Tribolium castaneum: one gene and its partner. Each later gene encodes a partner of the first gene's protein in a complex. Links are inferred from orthologs where the notes say so. Each region holds a gene or a part of one and is shown on either strand. Other genes may lie near its edges.

Evidence for each region.
Region 2: Cpsf73 (region 1) and Cpsf4 share a complex: the UniProt entries of both Drosophila melanogaster proteins name them as parts of the cleavage and polyadenylation specificity factor (CPSF) complex. The link is inferred for Tribolium castaneum from reciprocal best matches to the Drosophila melanogaster genes Cpsf73 and Clp.

What each region holds. Positions count from the first base shown.
Region 1 is NC_087396.1:20,618,477-20,623,712, reverse strand, and holds the start of Cpsf73 (cleavage and polyadenylation specificity factor 73), read right to left. Parts: upstream 3,704-5,236; 5' UTR 3,618-3,703; coding exon 3,547-3,617; intron 3,501-3,546; coding exon 3,437-3,500; intron 3,390-3,436; coding exon 3,292-3,389; intron 3,241-3,291; coding exon 3,112-3,240; intron 2,980-3,111; coding exon 2,802-2,979; intron 2,755-2,801; coding exon 2,665-2,754; intron 2,619-2,664; coding exon 2,292-2,618; intron 1,998-2,291; exon of another isoform or gene 1,854-1,997; coding exon of another isoform or gene 276-1,853; intron 223-275; exon of another isoform or gene 39-222; intron 1-38. Other genes in the region: delta(24)-sterol reductase, read left to right, coding at 276-1,853; homer protein homolog 2, read right to left, coding at 4,921-5,106. UniProt on the Drosophila melanogaster protein: Component of the cleavage and polyadenylation specificity factor (CPSF) complex that plays a key role in pre-mRNA 3'-end formation, recognizing the AAUAAA signal sequence and interacting with poly(A) polymerase and other factors to bring about cleavage and poly(A) addition.
Region 2 is NC_087394.1:10,089,261-10,093,501, reverse strand, and holds Cpsf4 (cleavage and polyadenylation specific factor 4, 30kDa), read left to right. Parts: upstream 1-2,098; 5' UTR 2,099-2,156; coding exon 2,157-2,259; intron 2,260-2,308; coding exon 2,309-3,048; 3' UTR 3,049-3,130; downstream 3,131-4,241. UniProt on the Drosophila melanogaster protein: Component of the cleavage and polyadenylation specificity factor (CPSF) complex that plays a key role in pre-mRNA 3'-end formation, recognizing the AAUAAA signal sequence and interacting with poly(A) polymerase and other factors to bring about cleavage and poly(A) addition.

The sequences.
Region 1 (5,236 bases):
TTAGTCGCTCGTGCCCTCGTGCTATGTAAAGAAAGTAAAGGAGATATTTCATAACTTTCCACCCACATAAGAAAACAAACAAACATGCGATTAATTCAAATGCAAACGACAAAAGGTGAAAGGTCAATTTTTTAATCAATTTATAAATAAATTATCAATCGTCTCAAGTGTTGTAAATACCGATAAACCACATCGCAACAGAGTTAATCAACTCTTCCAAAAGTGAGGTTAGAAACTGTTTTTTCCCTCAATTTTGCAAAATTATTTATTTCCAGATGGGCCGCCTCGTCGAATTCCTCGAAACCCACCGAGGCCTCGTCGTCCTCTTCTTCTGCCTCCCCGCCAGCTACATTTTCAACCTCTTCCTAACAATCCGCAAAACCCTCCACCGGTTTTTCTTCAGCAGCCCCACAAACCACGATTCGCGCGTCCGCGCGATCCAGAAACAAATCCAACAATGGAACAAAATCCCCAAAGACGAACGAAAACTTCTATGTACAGCGCGCCCCAACTGGCTAAGCCTCTCCACCACCTTCTACCGCAAAGACCTGTGCCACAAAATCAACGTCGATCTGTTCGACATTCTGCAATTGGATGAACACAATCTGACCGTGCGGGTCGAACCCATGGTCACTGTGGGCGAAATCACGCAATTTTTAATTCCGCGGGGGTTCACCCTAGCTGTGACACTTGAAATTGCCGACGCCACGCTCGGGGGGCTCGCGCTGGGCACCGGCATGACGACGCACTCACACAAAGTGGGGCTGTACCACGAAACGGTGGTTTCGTACGAGGTGGTTTTGCACGATGGGAGTCTTGTCAGGGCTGCGAAGAACGAAAACGCTGATCTTTATAAAACCCTGCCGTGGTCACACGGCAGTCTGGGGTTTCTTGTAGCCTTAACCTTGAGACTTGTGAAAGTCAAGCCCTTTATCAAAATGAATTATATTCCGGTCGAAGGGAAGAAAAACTACTGTGATATGATCAGGTTATTGTCAGGCGATAGTGGCGATTATCCCACTGAAGATTACGTGGAAGCGACTATTTATAGCCCTGAAAGGGCCGTAATAATGACAGGGTCTTACTCCGACTATGACCCAAACCTGCCGATAAACCACGTAAATCGCTGGTACAAACCGTGGTTTTACAAATACGTGGAAACATTCCTCAAAAAAGGCAAACACACAGAGTTGATCCCTTTACGGGAGTATTTACTGCGCCACAACCGGGCCATTTTCTGGGTCGTTGAATCAATGATCCCCTTCGGCAACAACCCCCTTTTCCGCCTATTCTTCGGCTGGTTGTTGCCCCCAAAGCCAGCATTCCTCAAATTCACGACAACCCCCGGCGTACGAGTTTACACTTTCACAAGACAAGTGTTCCAAGACATTGTCCTACCAATTCGCAAACTTGAGGATCAAATCGATAAATCGGACGAACTTTTCGACGCCTATCCACTTCTGGTCTACCCATGTCGGGTTTATGACAGAGGACCGGCTTCCGGTCAGTTGAAAGCGCCCCGGAAGGAGTATATCGTTGAGGGGACCGATTATGCAATGTACAACGATTTGGGGATTTATGGGGTGCCTGGGTATGTGAAACGCAAGGAGCGGTATAATCCTGTTTATGCGATGAGGGAGATGGAGAAGTTTACGCGTGATATTGGGGGTTTTTCGTTCTTGTATGCCGATATTTTCATGACTAGGGAAGAGTTTGAGGAAATGTTTGACTTGACGTTGTATGAGAAAGTGCGGAGGAAGTATGGGGCCGAGGGGTCGTTCCCACATCTTTACGATAAGGTCAAGCCGGAAATCGATGTGTTCGAAGTGGGGCAACGATTCGAAATCAAGTGAAAATGGCATACAAGTATTTTTCTACGATTAAAAATGTATTATTGGTTGCGTATTCATAACTATTTGTTAATCCAGTTTTTATTTTTTTATGCATATTTTACTGAAATAATATATTCTATTACGTAATAAATTATTTTTTCCATATTCCAAGCGTACTGGATAAGTTATAACCGCACCGAACCGATTTTATTAATTTTATTACACTCACACGATGTCTTGATAAGTTTCAAGTCCGTAAAAATAAACTACATTTTTTTGTACGTTTATGCATTCGTTTTTTATAACAATTTGATAAAAAACGCAGACAGAATTTACGAATTATTCATAATACGATTATTAGCTCAGTGATCATTGCATTAATTATAGTCTACTCAAGTTATGGTTCTCATTGCCAACTTGGTAATAAAATTTTCTATACTCACAGCTACAAAAACTCACCTTCAAATTCGAGATGTGCTTGAACACGAACGGGTTGTTTATTGCGATTTGTCGCTTAATTTTGTCGTTCATGGCGTTGATGTAAGTCTGGTACACAGCCATACATTTCTTAGCCAATGAGGAAGCATAATAGATGGGAATATCGTGTAAATCTGGATGTTGGCTCCAATACTCATCCAAAATTAGAAGCAACTCCTGTGCCCGTCCTAATGCAAAAACGGGGATCAAACAGCGACCGCCTCTGTTAACAATATCGTGAACTAGATTCGTAAAACGACTTTCACGTTCTTCGCGTTTTTCGTGAATGTGGGTACCGTAGGTAGATTCCTGTAATATTTTTTTGAATAAATGTTAGTCAAAATTTAAGTCGTACTGTAATTAGAACATCAGGGTGAACTGTTGGAATCTCCGCAGCCATTAAATGACGGTCTTCCTGACGCGAAAAATCGCCAGTGTATAAAATCTAAAACGAAATTTTCAATAAAGTTGTTTGAAATTTAAGTGTCGTACTTTAACGCCAGCTATCTCAATCATAAACATAGCGGCGCCCAAGACATGTCCCGCATTGTAAGCCCAGAATTTGATCCCCAAAACGTCTTTCTCTTCGTGGAAATTTATTGTCTCGATTTTGTCCATACTAGCCTCCAAGTCCGCCTCAGTGTAGAGCATCTGTTCGGTTGCAATGTTGCTGCAAATTCGAACACATTTCCGATCAAAGTAGGTCAAGGGCCAGTTTAAAAACATAAATCTTATTTTTTTTTAATAATAATTACGGAGAACTACCAGAAATTTTTTTCGCCCTTATTAAGTCACAATTTACCTGACTTTCACATAATCTGACAATAACCACCGATAAATCGCCTTGGTGGCGTGGGTCATAAAGCAGCGACCCTTGAAACTCGTTTTTTGCAAAAACCAGGGCAAAGCCCCACAATGGTCCAGGTGAAAACTGGAATTTCACGTTACAGTTATTAATGTACGAAAAAAAAATGTTTCGTACTGTGATATTAGCAACAAATCGATTTCGTCGGCTTCAATTAAATCAACGAAAGGCAACGCATCCATGCCTGAGAGCCCAGGATGGATTCCACAATCAAGCTACAAGTTTAAAGTCTTATAAACGAATAAAAATCGATCAAACTGACCATAATTTTTTTCCCTTTAAATTCAAGCATTATGCAAGACCGTCCCACTTCCTGACCGGCACCCCTACAAGACAGTGTTAACACAAAATTGTAATTTTTGGAATAATTACAGTGGCCTAATGGTCAAAAGGTCGCTTTCTTCGGCTGGGACTTGGGAATCGGGTTTGCGTTTATTGGACATGATTTCCAAAGCCAAAAACTTTATTTTTTATGCAGCTTTCATGATACACATAACCTAAAAAAATCACTTTCGAAATCGGGGGAATTTTAGGTTTTGAGGTTGGTACAAAATTTAAATTCAAATCAACACGTTTTTCCACCTTGCTGTCTCCCTTAGACCTTATCATACACACCTAAAATGTGCCTGAATTCTGGGTGTTTTGGGGGTTTCACACAAAAAGTCACTTTTTTAATAATCATCTATTTCTACAAACAAAATCGCCTAATACATTTTGGTCTTGCATTATACAGAAATAAAAAATTGGAAACAGTTTTGCTTCATTATAACAATCTCAACATAATAATAATCAGCTCATCCTATTATTAGAACAAATCTCCGCCTATAGTACAAGTGCAATATGTTTATAGCACTGACTTCTAATGGTACAGTATTGAGAAATTTCCATTATTATCGTTATTGTTGCTTTGAAAGTCACGTTAAAAACGTGCTTGAAAGACATTTCTTCTATATAATTATAACAACGCGCTAAACGTCTCTCAAGCAATTCTTTTTCAACCAAATAAAATATAAATAAACAAAAAATCTTGTAATAATACGTGTGCATTGTCAGCTTAGTGTTTGGCTACGAAGAACCCTATTTCACAATGGCAACATAAAGTAATTCGCTACGTTTTTATGAGGACTTATTTTGATTCAAATGATAACGTAAAATAAATAATCAGTCAATCTCGATGATGAAATGAAACCTAAAATAAATGTGCGCTCGGTAATAGTAACAAAATTAACGCATCACAATAATAAAACACAAAACCCATGATATGTTAATTCTGCAACTATTAACAAAATACTGAAAGCTGCACGACAGTACGCATTGTTACGTATAAAACGCTTTGATACTTGAAAATCCTACAATTAAATGGCATTTACACAACCAAAAATCGCAGCTGAATAAAACAGCTTCCTTAATCCGTGAAGGAAAGAAAGGAAAAAAAATAGACGGCGCCACTTTAATCAAGGAAGCTGCAGAATAAAATAACTTTTGTTCGTTTTGGCCTTTGGACGCGAGTCCGGACACATCACAATTTCAATAAATGCATGGACATTAGACAACCTAATAAATTGTGCGGTGGCACTTTGTAAATAAATAAAGTATAAAGTTTATAACCGATAGTACGTACGTTATGAATATTATATTTTTCGAGACATTCATAGTTATAGACCTAAGCAAGATATTACACGGACCCTATACATATGCAATATAAATGCGTTCGCGTACATTACGATGCTATCTGTCTTCAAGCTCTCACGTCTGCAAAGCCGTGGTGATTTCGTCGTGGATCGTTGCTAGTTCTTGTACTCGCGACGCCAGCTGCGAATTCAGCGTGAGGAGGATTTGGCGCTGAGATTCGTGGGCGCTGAGAGCGATGTCCAGCTCGGATTGGGCCAATTTTGCCGTCGCCTGGAGCTCCTGGTTTTCCTTCTGCAACGCCTGCGGGAAAATCACAGTTTTTCAAAGAATTTTTTTTTCACAAAGTAACAGATCATTTTTTTGTGTACGGGAAAATTGAAAAGCAAATTTGAGAAATACTACAAATACTTCTAGTTGCCCAAAAGAAAAA
Region 2 (4,241 bases), on another chromosome or scaffold:
ATTTAACCAGTCGTTCATTAGAATATATAAACCCTTTATGTTAAATAGTTTTTCCATGGCCAATTACTCTTAAACCTTGTTTTTTCTTTTTAAATACGTATAATAAAAACATCGAATTGTTTTTTTATTTATAATTTATTATTTATATCTACATTATTATTTATATTATTTATATTATTTATATTATTTATTTATATTATTATATTATTATTTATATTTTTAAATTTAGAAAAAAATAAGCACATCATAAATGTCAGCCAACTAAAATTTCTATTATGTAATTACAGGTAAACAAATTATTAAAAAAATTACATTTTTAAATTTTTTATGAAAAAGTACCTCTGCAGTGTCTTTGTTTCAGATGTGTTTTTTATACAGGCTGCACAAAAAATGAAATCAGATTTTCTTTCAAGAACTTAATTTTTGTATATTTTTTGAATTTGTTTTCCTCAGCAAAGGTATCGATTGTTTTTTTTGTTTCCTACGGTGTCGAATGTAATATATCAAATTGGCAAGTTTTTGAATTGTTTTGTACATCATAAGACATTTGTAAATATGATCTGAAGCACCAAAAACGTAACCTTGAAGAGTTATATCTCGTGATAGAAGGCTCATAGGAACTTTTAATTCAGTTTGCTTCCTTTATCAGCTTCCGGGAGATTGTTCATCACTTTTGAATCACTCTGTGTAATAAGGAAGATATTTTTTTAGATTAAATTTCGCTAAAATGTCAACTTTTGATTAACTTTGTTGTTGTCGAAAGCAAATGATATAGCGGGATGTGGGTTTTGACCATAATTATTTTCTCGAATAACGAGCTTAAGAATGTGTTATTCGTTTTTTAAAGCCTTTTAGTTTTAACGATTTTTTATTTGAAAACCTAAAATGCACCTGTTCATCTTAGTAATAATAGTTGTTATTTTTTTATAATTGTCGTTATTCTCTATACATTAAACAATGTATTTTTATCAAAACAATCAATTTTCGGACCTTGTATACAACAAATGGCTCCTAGTGGTTTTTTATTTTTTAAATCATACTAACTGTTTCAAGACTATTGAAGTGCTAACGTCGCATTTTGTCTAAAAATTATTTGTTATGTTATTCATGCGCTTCAAAAAATTATTAGCTGATGTAATTTATTATTTCAACTATTTTACATTTTTGTAAACGTTATTTAGAAAAATAATTCGGTAAAGGGCGTCGTTGGCATTTTGAAACGCTAATTAGTCCATAATGAAATTTTAGGAAAACTGTTACACAAACTTGACAATAAGGCTTATTCCAAATCTGCGGCCTATTTTATAAAACTTTTTACAAGTGATTTACTTGTCACTTGTAAAAATCAACTTGTAGTTTTTATGAAACGGGCCCCTGGTGGCGAACTGACATTGCCAAAAATGACTGAATTTTAGCATTGAAGATAGATATGTTTAATTAAAAAAAAAATGCCCACAGGCGTCACAATAAAAAGATAAGAATATTGAACAATATAATAATAGTAATATTTCTATGTATCTTCGTCCTCAAAATTTATGTTAAAGTAAATAAGTAAATTTTAGAGAAAAAAATGCACCCCCTTTATTTCATTCTTTTAATGAAGTGGGTGCATTTCAAGAGTTTTTTTTTATATCACTGCCAGTTCGCCACCAGATATGGAACAACCTTTACCCAGAACAATGCAATTGTGGATTAAATTTGTTTTTTTTTTTGACAATTTAGTGGTCAACTGGAACCAGTATTATCCTAGTATTACTAGTTGCATCAAAAAATCTTCAGAAATAAGCCACAATTGACTCGCAATGTATATTTACACTTAATTTTGAGTTTCGCAAATAAATTTTTTTTGGTAATTTTTAGATAGGCAACACACTATACGGACTGCCTATCAACGGATCATCTAATTTTTTACTTTCCTTATTTAAAGCCGTTCCTTATTATATTATTGTATCGTTTTCCAGAGATTGGAACACGGTAAACTTGCTAAGTTTTTTTTTGAATTTGAAATTTTTTACACTAAACCAGAGCTGCCAATCTAGACCAACTGGTGGCAGGCTATGGTGGCAGGACTACATGTCAAATAGTTGATTTTGTTGTGGTTAAAATAAAAGGTGTTGCGTTTTCATTTTTTGTAATATTAAACTACAAATATCGAAATGGAGTGCATTGTGGCCAACGTGGACCACATAAAATTCGACATTGAAGTGGCTCTAGATGAGCAATTCGGCGCTTTGCCCTTACCATTTCCCGGAATGGACAGTAAGTGAGGTTATGTCGAAAATATAATTTTCTCGTTTTTTGCTTTCAGAATCAATTGCAGCCGTTTGTCAGTTTTACACTTCAATACAAGGCTGTCAAAAGGGCCCCCAATGTCCGTTTCGTCACGTGCGAGGCGACCGAACCATTGTGTGCAAACACTGGCTGAGAGGTCTTTGCAAGAAAGGCGACCAGTGCGAGTTTTTACACGAGTATGACATGACAAAAATGCCCGAGTGTTACTTCTATTCGAGATTTAACGCTTGTCACAATAAAGAGTGTCCGTTTTTACACATAGACCCTGAGAGTAAAATCAAGGATTGTCCTTGGTATGACCGTGGGTTTTGTCGACATGGGCCCCACTGTCGTCACAGACACGTGCGCAGGGTTTTGTGTACGAATTACTTGGCAGGCTTTTGCCCCGAAGGGCCAAACTGCAAGTATATGCACCCAAGGTTTGAGTTGCCTGCGCCCCCTGATCAGGTGCAGAAGGACAAGAAAGCCACTCCTGTTATTATTTGTCACTTTTGTAACGAACATGGACACAAGGCGATACATTGTAATAAGATGAATAGTGATAACAGAGACGCCTTAAATGACGAGAATCGAAAACAGAATGATCATTATGAGCCTCAGAACTCTTATTTGCAGAAAATGTTGCCTAAGAAGCTGGAAGATGTTACTTGTTACAAGTGTGGTACAAAGGGACACTACGCAAATCGGTGCCCTAAAGGGCACTTGGCGTTTTTGTCACAGGCCAAGAGCAATCAGGATGGACAAGGTGATCAATAAGAGTGGTGATCGTTTTTAAATAATATTTAAAGTTATTCAAACTATTGTATTTATTCTATAGGAAAATAAACAACAATTTTTACGAGTAGATTTATTTCGCCTTTTTCCAAAAATTAATCTAATTATTTTTCTTAGGTTACAGGCGTAGTTTTTTAGGTACATTATACCATTGTTTGTGAGGTGAGATAAAGCTGTTAGAGTTGTTCTCACAAGTGAGTAAATCTAGAGAAAATTGGAGAAAACAATGAGTCTGTTCATTTCATCACTACGAAAACTGATGCTAATGTTACAGGCGGATATTTACTTGAATTTTTTGGATTTTTTTCTAATGCACGTGTAAGATAAAACGTCGTATATCACACGTGATCGAAATACCGTTTTAAAGCTCGTGGGACACTCCCACTCGAGCACAAGCGCACTCGTGTGTCAAATTCTCACTTACATATAATGATCCATTTCTATCTCTTATAATATAATATACTATTATCTTACAGGAGCAGTTTTTTAGGTACATTATACCATTAAACTTGGTGAGAGAAATGAAATTTCTCTCATTGAACATTTTCTCGTCCTCAGAGTAGATTAACTGTCCTAAAGTTTTATTTAAAGCGTTATAAAACAAAAAAGGAGGCAACGGCACGCGGTGTTCCCAAGCGGTCACCCATCCAAGTACTAACCGCGCCCGACGCTGCTTAACTTCAGTGATCAGACGAGAACTGGTGTATTCAGCGTGGTATGGACGTTGCCTGAACGTTTTCTCGTCCTCAGAGTAGATTAGCTGTCCTAAAAGTTTTATTTAAGACGTTACAAAACAAAAAAGGAGGCAACGGCACGCGGTGTTCCCAAGCGGTCACCCATCCAAGTACTAACCGCGCCCGACGCTGCTTAACTTCAGTGATCAGACGAGAACTGGTGTATTCAGCGTGGTATGGACGTTGCCTGAACGTTTTCTCGTCCTCAGAGTAGATTAGCTGTCCTAAAAGTTTTATTTAAGACGTTACAAAACAAAAAAGGAGGCAACGGCACGCGGTGTTCCCAAGCGGTCACCCATCCAAGTACTAACCGCGCCCGACGCTGCTTAACTTCAGTGATCAGACGAGAACTGGTGTATTCAGCGTGGTATGGACGTTGCCTGAACGTTTTCTCGTCCTCAGAGTAGATTAGCTGTCCTAAAAGTTTTATTTAAGACGTTA